Ovis aries: one gene and its partners. The protein of the gene in region 3 interacts with the protein of the main gene of each other region in a pairwise test. Links are inferred from orthologs where the notes say so. Each region holds a gene or a part of one and is shown on either strand. Other genes may lie near its edges.

Evidence for each region.
Region 1: the proteins of GPR25 (region 3) and KASH5 interact in binary tests that used the Homo sapiens proteins (3 or more experiments, as listed by UniProt). The two-hybrid records come from large-scale screens. The link is inferred for Ovis aries from reciprocal best matches to the Homo sapiens genes GPR25 and KASH5.
Region 2: the proteins of GPR25 (region 3) and VAPB interact in binary tests that used the Homo sapiens proteins (3 or more experiments, as listed by UniProt). The two-hybrid records come from large-scale screens. The link is inferred for Ovis aries from reciprocal best matches to the Homo sapiens genes GPR25 and VAPB.

What each region holds. Positions count from the first base shown.
Region 1 is NC_056067.1:55,594,451-55,598,095, reverse strand, and holds part of KASH5 (protein KASH5), read right to left. Parts: intron 1,387-3,645; coding exon 1,282-1,386; intron 863-1,281; coding exon 676-862; intron 231-675; coding exon 166-230; intron 1-165. UniProt on the Homo sapiens protein: As a component of the LINC (LInker of Nucleoskeleton and Cytoskeleton) complex, involved in the connection between the nuclear lamina and the cytoskeleton.
Region 2 is NC_056066.1:57,609,288-57,612,932, reverse strand, and holds part of VAPB (vesicle-associated membrane protein-associated protein B/C), read left to right. Parts: coding exon 1-81; intron 82-1,863; coding exon 1,864-2,040; intron 2,041-3,645. UniProt on the Homo sapiens protein: Endoplasmic reticulum (ER)-anchored protein that mediates the formation of contact sites between the ER and endosomes via interaction with FFAT motif-containing proteins such as STARD3 or WDR44.
Region 3 is NC_056065.1:78,883,414-78,887,243, reverse strand, and holds GPR25 (probable G-protein coupled receptor 25), read right to left. Parts: upstream 2,487-3,830; 5' UTR 2,408-2,486; coding exon 1,283-2,407; 3' UTR 509-1,282; downstream 1-508. UniProt on the Homo sapiens protein: Orphan receptor.

The DNA of each region.
Region 1 (3,645 bases), on a different chromosome or scaffold from region 3:
AAAGCTCAGGGCATGTGGGGAGGCAGTCATGCAGGTGCCTAGAAAGCTAGGTTAGAACAAATGTCTCTGGGGTCTGGCCCTATCCCCTGCTCTGCCCCCATGGGAAGTCCCCCCCACTGTCTGACCCTAGGCCTGCCTGCTTCATTCTATATATAGCGATCTCACCAGATGGCAGTTGCTGGGAGGTCAGGGCTCCCTCGAAGGCCGTCTCCTCTTCCAGCTCTAATCCCCTGTATCAAAGGGATGAGGCTTAGGGCCCCTGCAGCCAACCCCCCCCAATCCTGACCAGCCTCCGACAGGGGGTTGCGGGTGATGGGAGGGGGCCAGGTCAGGTGAGAGCAAGCACCGTGGGGAGGAAGGTGAGGCCAGATGGCAAGCGCCTGGGGCCAGATGGAAAAGCAGGAGGGGCAAAGCCTGTGCTTGGAGGGGTGGGGAGGGGCCTCTGTCAGCCTCTCAACATCCCCCTTCTCCACTCTCCAGCCCCTTTCATTTCTGCCCTCAGACCCTTCCCTCACCCCAACCTCATCTCTACTCTCCTCTCTTCTCAGCCTCCTTCCAACCACAGCAGGTCCCTGTGCCCAAAGCGTGCTGGCTGCAGTAAGCAGGTATGAGCTTAGGTCTTAAGAAAGGTTTTCTGAGGGGGCTGGGGTGGGGGATGGAGGTGCGGGGACCCACCCATCCAGCTGACAGGCAGTGATCCAGTCCCGCATGACCACCAGGAAGGTGTCCAAGTCCACAGTGGCCTGAGGGCCCTCCCCATTGGGGTCCAGGCTGCAGGCCAGTGTTTGGAGGCGAGCATCCTGGGGACCCTGTCCAGTCACGGCCTCCAGGTAGGCTAGCAGATGGGTCACAGCCACAGTGCCTGGGGACAGAGAGGCTGTGAGGGAGGCTGCGTCAGGATAAGGAGAGGGGTGGGGACCACGGGCTGGGCTGGTGGCACCCCTGCACCGTGGCCTTTGGGCAACTCCTTCTTCTTCCCCCGAGTCAACGTTTTCACCTGGAAACGGGGCCCAGTCATCTGCACCTCAGAGCTGGACCAAAGAGGACCAGCTGAGCCCCACTAGGCCCACAGTGGCTGCCCTTTCCCCCTCCCCCAGGCTCCAAAGCCCCGCCTTCCTCTGCTTACCCTCCTCCCCCAGGTTTCCTCCCCTCACCATCCCCTATCCATTTCCTTCCTGAAGCTTCCCAGTCAACCACATCACCCCAGCCCATCCCTCTGTCTGTGGCCCCCCAGTTCTCAGCCCCCCAGCTTCGTTCCTTATTATTCCTTGACCCTCTGACCTGTTCTCTGGGGGTCACAAGCTTCGAACGTGGAGTTGAGTATTTGCTCCTCTAAGCTGAGCAGTGTCCCCAGGCTCCCGTCCTCTGCCTGGTCCCAGAGGTACACTGAGGAGACAAGAGGGCCAGCCCATCTGTGGGGAGGGGGACGATGAAGAACAAAGAGGGGCTCCTGCAGAGGGGAGGGAATTCATTCCAAGCTGCCTGGGGTTTGGGCTGGTGGGGGCCACAAGGTGAGGGTCCTCGAGTCACCTTCCCCATCCCCCGATTTGGGAATGTGGGCCCCCCTCATCCTTCAGGCCAGGAAGTGCCCCCCCCCGCCCCCGCTGTCTAATCCCTTGTGTCCAACCGGCTCAGGAGCCCACAATACTGAACAAACCCTCTTATAGCCTTTTCCCCTCTCTTCCCTGGCTTAGAGGGGGCGAGGGACAGAGGAGGATGAAGAAGAGAGGATTCTGGGAGAAGCGGAGGGTGAAGGGGGCCCAGGAACCAGGAACAATCCAATATCGCGCGGGCAGCCTGGATCGATCCCGCCTGCCCTCAGCATCTCCGGTCTCTCAGCCTGCCTCAGGGCTGGGTCTCTCCTCCCCACATCCCTGAGGCTGGCTGGCATCATCAGCGCCCACGGGCTGGGGCCTGAAACAAAGGGGGATGGGACAATCCAGCCAGGGTGAGTGGTGGTGCGGTTCCGACCTCAGAGTTCCAGCTGCAGGACTGTGGGCAAGTCTCTTTGCCTTTTGGAGCCTCAGTTTTCCCACCAGTAAAATGGGTGGATAGAGTGATCCTCCCCCTCCCTGGGGCTGGGAGGGTGAGGTCTGTGTAAGTGAAGAGCACTTCCTGCTTCCCACCTCCGCACAATGTGAACATCCTGGGGTCTGTCTGCTGCTGTATCCACTGTGCCCACACAAAGCAGCACTCAAAAAATGCTCCAAGATATAGAAGGAGCCTACACATTCTCCACCCCTGGACCCACTGGATCTCTCCAGGGGCTGGAAGTGACCGCTGAAGCTCCTGCCCTGCCCCTGAACAGATGGGTGTAGCAGAGTGCAGGCTGCAAGGTCTGGCAGACTCAAGTGCAACCTGGGCAAGGGACTCAGTCTCTCTAAGCCTCAGTTTCTTCCTATGGAAAATGCGTGGGTGGGTGAGTGGGGGCTAATTCCCTCCTAGAGAGGAGATAAGATATTAATAAAATCTGGAAGCTCGATAATAAAACTGCACATTTATTCAGCATTTACTAGGAGCCACGCCTCTTCTGAGCATTTGACATGAACCACAGTGGCTGCTATGATTACAAACCAGGATACTTAGGCACAGACAAGTGGGAAACTTGCCCAAGGTCACATGTTCAACATCTGATTGCCATTTCTCATCGCACTAACTCTTCAAGGGTTCTCTGTACTGAGCTAAAAATTTAGCCCCTTCGGGTTTGAACTTCGGCTTCTAAGGAAAGGGAGCAGGACCTACAGTTAGGGGAGACGTGGTGCCCCCCTACATTATACAGGAGGACCCTGTGGCCCAGTGAGGTCACCCAGGACTGCCTGGCTCCAGATGTCGTGGGATCTGAGGAGCTGCATGGATCTACAGCGCAGATGCGACCCTCAGCCTCCCGGGGCCCCTCAGGAAGAAGTCACTCTGCTTCTCTCCTGTTCTCTTTCCTTCCTCAGTGTCTCTACCTCTCTGTCTGTCCTGTCCTTTCTCCAGTTTTGTCTCCGACTCTTTCCACTCTCCTCCCTATCTCTTTGGCCCTCAAGTCCCACCTGCCTGTCTCCACGTCCTCCACCCCCATCTTCTCGTCTCTGTGCTGCTTCTCCCGTAACTCAGCGACTCTCCAAGGCTTCTCTCTCCTTCCTCCACTGTCACTCTCTCTCTTTCCATCTCCTGCTTTCCTCAGTCTCCATCTCTCCTGGGTGTGTCCCTCCCTTTTCTCTGGGAGTCTCCCAAAGCGCGGCCACAAGTTCCTCGGCGGCCGCACGCCCTCTGCTGGTGCACATGAAGTTTACACGTTCAGATGCTGGTCACTTGGTCAGCCTGCCCAGGTGTCTGCCTCCTGCCTTCCTATCTGGCAAGCCTCCTGAGGCCAGAGAGAAGACACCGGCTTTGAGGCTAGATGCTAAGAGCCTCTAAGAAAGGGGCCCTGTCTCTCCTCTAGGGTGGGAGTCTCCCTTGGCTCTCTCACTGTTTAGTAGATGAGTTTCAGAAAGGACAACCCAACATCTTCCTCCTGAAGCCACTTTCACACCCATTTGGTCTGTGTCCAACTGATCATTCAAAAGTTAGTAACTGGGTTCCTATTATATGTCAGGTATTGCTCCCTAGCAGCATGATCAGCAGGACAGCCGACAGCCACAGTGATTCTTGAGATCTGAA
Region 2 (3,645 bases), on a different chromosome or scaffold from region 3:
TGGAAGGAGGCAAAACCGGAAGACCTTATGGATTCAAAACTTAGATGTGTGTTTGAATTGCCAGCAGAAAATGATAAACCAGTAAGTATGTTTATAGTTAACAATAATTGAATGTTGCAAGCTGATACTTATTTGCATACCATCTCCTGCAAAACCAAGATTTAAGTTGGCAAATTATTTTCCTTCTTCTGATGTATGAAGAGAAAAATTCGCTGAAGTCAACAAATAAGTGGGCCTTTGTGAAATCTGCCTTTGAAAGATTCACAGAAAGAACTCATTGAAATTTTTTTTGCCTTTGAAAAGCACAACCTGTTGACTGTTGAAATGTCATAAATTCCGAAGAGCTTCTTTGACTTGGGCAAAGTTCTAGGTTGCTATTATATTTAACAGTGGGAAAGACGGTGAGCGCTCAGCTCCTCTTGTACAGTGCTGTCTGCAGGCTTCCCTGTCTGCATTTCTCCTGAGCACCAACTCTCCACCTCTTGAACCCCAGATTCTCTTCAGTCAAAATGTGCTTTTAGATGAGGATTTCTCACCCTTAGCCCTGCTGACTTTCGGGCCAGGAGTCCTTCGCTATGGTGCTGTCCTGTGCCTTGCAGGGTGTGTTGTGGCATCCTTGACCTCACCCCAGTAGCATCCCTGGTCGTGATGACCTGAAGCGTCTCTGGATGTTGCCAGGTATGCCCTTCCCGAGGCAGAGTCAGTTCCCGTTGAGAATCACCCTTTTTGCTGCCTGAGCACTGAGGGTAAGGAGTGACTCCCTCCCAGCTGCTGGCTCACTTTTCTCTGTGTGAAACCAAAGCATGAGCCCGGTTGGCATGAACCTCCCTTCACCCTAGTCAAAAAACTTAAACTGTGTTAACACAGTTTAAAACCCATGCAGAGTATTAAACCACCCTGGCTGTTAATAGCTGGTGGTGGGAATAGAAATGTTCAAACTCTCAACGTTATCCATAACAATCTCCAGGAATGCTGATGCTTTGTGTCAAAACTACTTAGCATTTTTTTTCTGCTCACTAATGGACCACCGTCACTATCCCATTTCTTCGAATGATTGGTGGTCTTCGTTCCTTTTTTCCCTTCCCTCTTCCCACAGCATGTTCTGTCAGTTGTGGATAGTTGAGGACTGTATTCTGGCCCCAGCTGTGCTCTTGGAGGTTAGCTCTGTGTGTTGAGGTCTTGCTTGCCAGGGCCTCACTCCTCTCCCCTGGGAGACTAAGGGTAGAGCTCGCTGTTCTCCGTTTGCTGCATGGACCCCCAAGGGCTTCCATGCTTCCCCGGCCCCCACATACTCACTCATCCCCAGTAGGTCTTCAGAGGGGATCACAGCGCAGTCGTGGCTGGGGAAGTGAGGAACACATTGCCTCCCCAGGATGAAATACCATAGACACTGAATTTGTTGCACCTTCATCCCATCGCTGCAGTTGTCTTAAGTTCAGGAGACAAATCACCCTCTGGGTTACGTCCCCTCTGGCCTTCTGCCCCCGCCCAGCCAGTTTGGGGGATGTTCGCGTCTTCATAGTGACTTGTGGCTGATGATTCCTGAGCTTGTGCAGCTATGCTCTGCTGATTTTTCATGGCAGGAATTTGATAGTGCAGTGCGCACAGCCCCTTTTCTCTTTCTTTGAAGTATTAGTCTCAGCCGGACTTCATTATTTGCCCTCATCCATAATTTCTGGAGCCCAGTTTTAGATTATGAAGATACTAGGTGATAAAGTGATCTGTTTTAAAAAAATGTGACATTGTACAGTTTGGATGAAACGCTACCCTGGGTGGTGTCTGCTGAGACCTACTTTACTTTGCATGAAGAAGTCCTTTAATACGTGGTTGGTGACACTTGGGCTTTCATTTATTTCTGAACAGCATGATGTAGAAATAAATAAAATTATACCCACAACTACATCAAAGACAGAAACACCAACGGTGTCTAAAGCTCTGAGTTCCTCCTTGGATGACACTGAAGTTAAGAAGGTGATGGAAGAGTGTAAGAGGCTGCAGAGCGAAGTCCAGAGGCTGCGGGAGGAGAACAAGCAGTTCAAGGTAATGGCATTTTGTTTCCTGATCGTCTTCAGGGAATTGGGGCTTTGCTACTATGGTCTTGGGTGAGGAGGTTGATGCAATTTGTGGAGTTGTCTTGTATTTGCACGTTTTTCCTCCAGGCTGAAGTTTCCTAAGGTTCTCAAAACAATCCCTGGACACATGCCTACGTGCATCCCAAAGTAAGAACCAGTGTCCCTTGAGCAGTATTTTTTCAACTATTTAAACTCCTGTCTCCTCATAAAATGACAACAGACAAATAAAAAATCCATTAGTGTAAATTGAAATTAAAAAAACAACAATGGTTATCTTGAGTTCACATTTTCAAGCCCCTTTTCCATCCCCATTGGATGAGAATCTTTTTGAAGAGAGTAAAGACTGACGTGTATTCTGTTTTAAGGCAATCATCATTCTGATTTTTGAATATCCTAAATAGGTCTAGCAGTGGGGTCTCATCCTCTATCAGTATGGTCCGGAGACTGGAGCTGGGATGCTGTCACATCCATGGGGGAGATTACAGGGAACCAGGGGCTCCAGCTTGTGGCCCTGGACCTGGCGAGTGGCCTGGCGCTGGGGGGTGAGGTCGCACTGGTGCTGGAGCGAGGCAGGTGTGCTCCTCTTGGCTTTGGAGGCCTGCGGTAGTGTGGAAATGACCAGCCAAACTTGGACTCACTGTGTAACTTTGTCCATCACAGCGGCTTCTGGCCTCTGTTTGCAAGACCCTGTTAAGGCCCTTCCAGTGTTGAAAGTATGCCTTTCATACACAGGGTTAAAGAGAGTGTTTCTGAACATCTGATTGTAGGATCTTTTGTTGCAGCTTAAGTCTTGAGGCTGATCTGTTCTTTTCATCTTGATCATGTCCCCAGCCACCATAGACTGTCACTCCCTGACTGCGTAGCACCAGGTACACACCATAAATTCACTGCAGGTGACTCTTCCTTCTGTTACTCTGATGAGGTAGGAGACATGGGGGGCCAACGGGGTTTAGAAAGTGGCATCCTTGTCTTTCTCTGCAGTAATCATGCTTTGCCTCATTCAGTGACTGCTGTTGGTATGGAGTAAATTATGAGGCTGACACTCTACTTTTGGCTAAAAGTCTAAGATACGCCTAAAGCTTCTTCTTGAATGTATTTCTCTTCTTTGCCATTTAAAGTGATAAATAGGTGGAAATAGCTTCTATATAAACCCAATAAAATAAATGCTGTACTTTGCTGTGCCCATTTTTTTTTTTTTTGAAGTTAATCGAATAGCACCAGTCATTTATCAGCATGCAGCAATATTGGCCATGCCCCTCAAGCAAAGTGTCTTTAAAATATTATCAGACCAGTCTTGACATTAGAAGATTCTTTATCTTGCCAAACAAGGATTTCTTGTTTTGTGTTGTTTCATACTTTCATTTGGCCACACATTTGCTAAGACCCTCCTGTGTGCCCAGCACTGTGGGATACAGACGTGGGTGGTCCCTGCCCTTAAAATAAGCCCCAGGGTAGCCGGGGAGACACAAATACTGAACCAGTCCCACAGAGGTGGCCATGAGTGTTGTGAGGGGTGGGCTTAAGGTGCTGGCTGCCTCTTGTCATCAGATCTGTCAGACACTTGATTAGTGTG
Region 3 (3,830 bases):
GGCTCTCCAGGAGAATTCCTGAGTTCTTTCCTGCACTGACGTTTCTTTAGGCCATATCTGCTTAAAAGTATAAAGGCTGAATTCCCAACCCCTCCAGAAACCCCCAAGGATGCCGCAGACTCAGAACATGGATGCCCTTCAGCATTTGTCCTGGATGGGCCCAAAGGGAGTGAGGAGAAAGCTCCACCAGGATTTGACAGCCACAAGGCCACACTTCCGCTTTGAAGTGACACCTGGCTGGCAGCTGTGCTCCAGTCTTTTCCCCCTCCCTCTCTCTCTGAAACCTCCAAAATGGGAAACGTCCTTTAAAATAGTAAGAAGAGAAGACAGGCTGCCCTCCTGGGGGGCCCACGGCGGGGCCGCTGTCCTTAGCCCAACTTGACACCAAATCCTGACCACTTTGAGGTCAGCCTCAACTCCTGGATTGAGTTTTGTCTGACCCAGTGATTAAGTGGCCCCCTCACACTCATTTCAGTCCCTTACACTCAAGTAAAGGCAGACACAGCTGTCGGGTGAGGGCAGCAAGTGTTTATTGAGAAAGGGGAACTCACACTGCGGGGCCCAGTGTGGCAGCCGGTCAGAGCATCCGAGTGCCCGGGGACAGATGCTGGAACCCTCTGTCTGCAGGGAGGCACCCGCCCAAGTCCAGGGTGAGTCCTGCGGCTTCTTGGGAGCTGGGGAGATGAAGGACGGGCCTCCTGGGGTCGCTGGCAGCAGGAAGGGGTGAGCGCGACAGCACCGTGCTCCCCATGCTTTGGTGAGTGTTGAAATTGAAGATGCGGACGCGTGACTCAGCACAGCCACCAAGACGGCAGAGCGCAAAGGTCCGGGATTCTTTGGAGAGGAGCCAGAGGGTTCGGCTTGGAGAAGGTATTTCTCAGCAGGCAATGGCGACTGTAGGGACCAAAGGTAACGGGCCGCCGAGACGAGAGTGGCCTCTGGGCGTCTCTCCCAGGGCGCAGAGCAGGGAGGCCACTTCCCTTTCCGAGCCCGGGTCGGCGTGGCAGGTCCATCTCGCAGGACGTTTACTGCGCTGGAGACAAAGCTCAGGTGCGCACTGGGCGGAGCAGGAGGAGAGCGGGTCTCCGGAGCCGAGCCGGGGGTTGGGGGGGGTGGACGCTGGAAGAGCTGAGATTTTGGGAAAGCTCGTGAGGGAGACCCCGGGAGGCCCCGCGCACCCGGCGGAGCAGTCCGCTGCGCTCGGGGAGGTGGGGAGGTAGGCGGCGGTGGGGAGCGGCCCGCTTCGCTTCCCTGCGCCACCCGCAGCCCGCCGGCCGAGCAGCTACGGGCCGACAGCCTTGGGGGCGCTCGCCGTCTGGGCTCGGCCGCCCGCGCGGGCCGGGCTCCTGAACGGGGAGCCGTCGTCGCCGGAGAGTGATGACGCCGAGCTGCTCCAGCGCGCCGGGCGGTCGGCGCGCCCGCAGGCCCCGCGCTGCCGCAGCTGCGCGCGGAACGAGCGGTCGAGCAGCAGGTAGATGAGCGGGTTGGCGCAGCTGTTGACGAAGGCCAGGCAGGTGGCGACGGTGAGGCCCCAGCGCAGCGCCAGCAGCAAGTGGCAGGGCAGCGGCAGCGCGCCCAGGCTCGCCAGGTGGAAGACGGCGCGCAGGGCGCAGAAGGGCAGCCAGGAGCCCACGAAGGCGCCCTCGACGGCCAAGATGATGCGCAGCGAGCGGCTCCGCGCGCGGCCCAGGTGCGGCGGCCCGCGCAGGCGGCGCGACACGCGGCAGTAGCAGACGACGGTGACGGCCAGGGGCAGCACCAGGGTCAGCAGCAGCAGCAGCAGGCTCAGGCCCTGGAAGGCGTCCGACGGCTCCTCCCCGCACTGGCTGCCGTGGCCCCCGCCGGGCAGCGGCCGCAGGCGGCGGAAGGCCAGCGACGGCAGGCCGGCGGCCAGCGCCGCGGCCCACACGCCCGCGCAGGCGGCCAGCGCGCAGCGCCGGGAGCGCGGGGAGCGCGCGGCCAGCGGGCGGCCCACGGCCAGGTAGCGGTCCACGCTGAGGCCGGCCAGCAGCAGGGCGCCCGCGCAGCGCGTGCCGGCCAGCGCGAAGCTGCTGAGCTTACACAGGCCCTCGCCGAAGGGCCAGCGGCCACCCCGCGCCGCCGCCGCGGCCCACAGCGGCAGCGTGAGCAGGAAGCCCAGGTCGGCGGCCGCCAGGTGCTGCACGAAGGTGTCCACGAGCCGCCGCGGGCCGCGCGCCCCGGACAGCAGCCACAGCACGAAGGCGTTGCCCGGCAGGCCCACGGCGAAGGCCGCCAGGTAGAGCGCAGGGATGTAGGCGTGGCTGTAGGGCAGGTCCCGCGCCGCACACAGCTCCTCCAGCTCCAGCTCGCCCGGTGCGCCCGACCCCGAGTAATAGTCCCAGGGCGCCGTCCCCGCGCTGGGGCTCCAGGGCTCCGTGGGGCTCATGGCCGGAGACGCCCGGTGGCGGTAGCGGGGCCAAGAGGGAAGGTGGCTCTTCACGGCCCGTGCCCAGCCCAGCACCTCCCTTCCTGCCGCCGCGGGCCGAGGCGAATGGGTGGGCAGGAAGGGGTGGGGGCGGGGGAGGGGCAGGTGCCTGGGAAGAGAGGGGGGCGAGATTCGCGGTGGGGCGGAGGGCCGGGGAGGTGGCTTCCCAGCTGGGTCTTTGGAAGAAAAGCTCCCGGCTGGATCTGCGCCCTGCCTCCCGTGGGAGCCTGACCTGTCCCTCATCAGTCACTGGTTTTATTGAACTAGGAGTGTCAACGGTTTCAGGGCCCGGAGGCCCGGTAGAACAGGCGCTCAGAGCCTCAGTCCCTCTCACCCCTTCTTGGCTACCGGCTACTGTCTGTCTCTCTCTTAGGATTTTCCCCAAGGAGGTGCCAGCTGCCAAGATTCCCCTGGCCTCTTTGCAGAGCCGGCGCGTGGAGGGAGCCTGCCCTTGGGGGCCTCCCTACAGTCAGGGGCTGAATACCAGACTCTCCGATGCCGTTAGCTCCCTGAGCTGCTGGGTCTGGTGTCTTAGCCCAGGGTGGCATTTCTGACCAGCTCAGGTTCTCAGGGAGCCACGGGGAGGGTTTGCACCTGAAGAGGGAGGGTCAGCCTGTCCAGATGAGGCAGCAAAGCCTGGAATCTAGACCCCAGCCCTTCCCCACCTTCCTTCCTGGGCAGAACCTACCTAACGGAGCCTATGGGTGCTAGGCCCGGAGCGCAAGATGGAGCAGGACTCAGCGGCAGAGGCGTTGTCCTCAACCAGGAGTCGGGAGTTTCAGAGGAGGACGGGATCCCTTGTGGACTGAGAGGCAGGAAGGATTCAGAGAGAAGGGTGGGCATGTAGCCTGGCCTTGGAGGCGGCGGTGGGCCAGGGACAGGATGGGGGCAGGGTTCCCGAGGATGCTGGGCATTGTCGGGCCTCAGCTCCTCTTGGCACGTCCTCCCGCGAGCTGCTGCAGTGAGCTGTGACAGTGAGTCCTCCACAGAGCCGTGCCTCATTGTCACCAGGAGTGGATGAGCGGTTGGGTCATCTGGCGTTAAAAATTCGAGGAGGGTTATTTTTCCATTTTATTCCGTACAGCCCTGTTACAGCAACCGCCTCCGTGTGGCAGGCCCCGTTTTGGGTGTCACAGGAGATGCCGGTTTTGACCTTGGAGGGTCACTAATCAGGCCCCAGAGACAGATCTGTATGTCCCATGTGCAGTGGCCGGCGTGCCAGAGGTCACACGTCCTGGTGTGAAGGTTAATGAAGTCCCCCTGGAGCTCGGAGGAGGGGGCAGCCCCTCTGACTGAGGAGGAAGTCCTGGGTCTTTCCTGGCACCCGAGGTGGGGACTGAGAGGCCCCTGGACACGCGGAGGGGGCAGAGCCCACCTGCACCCT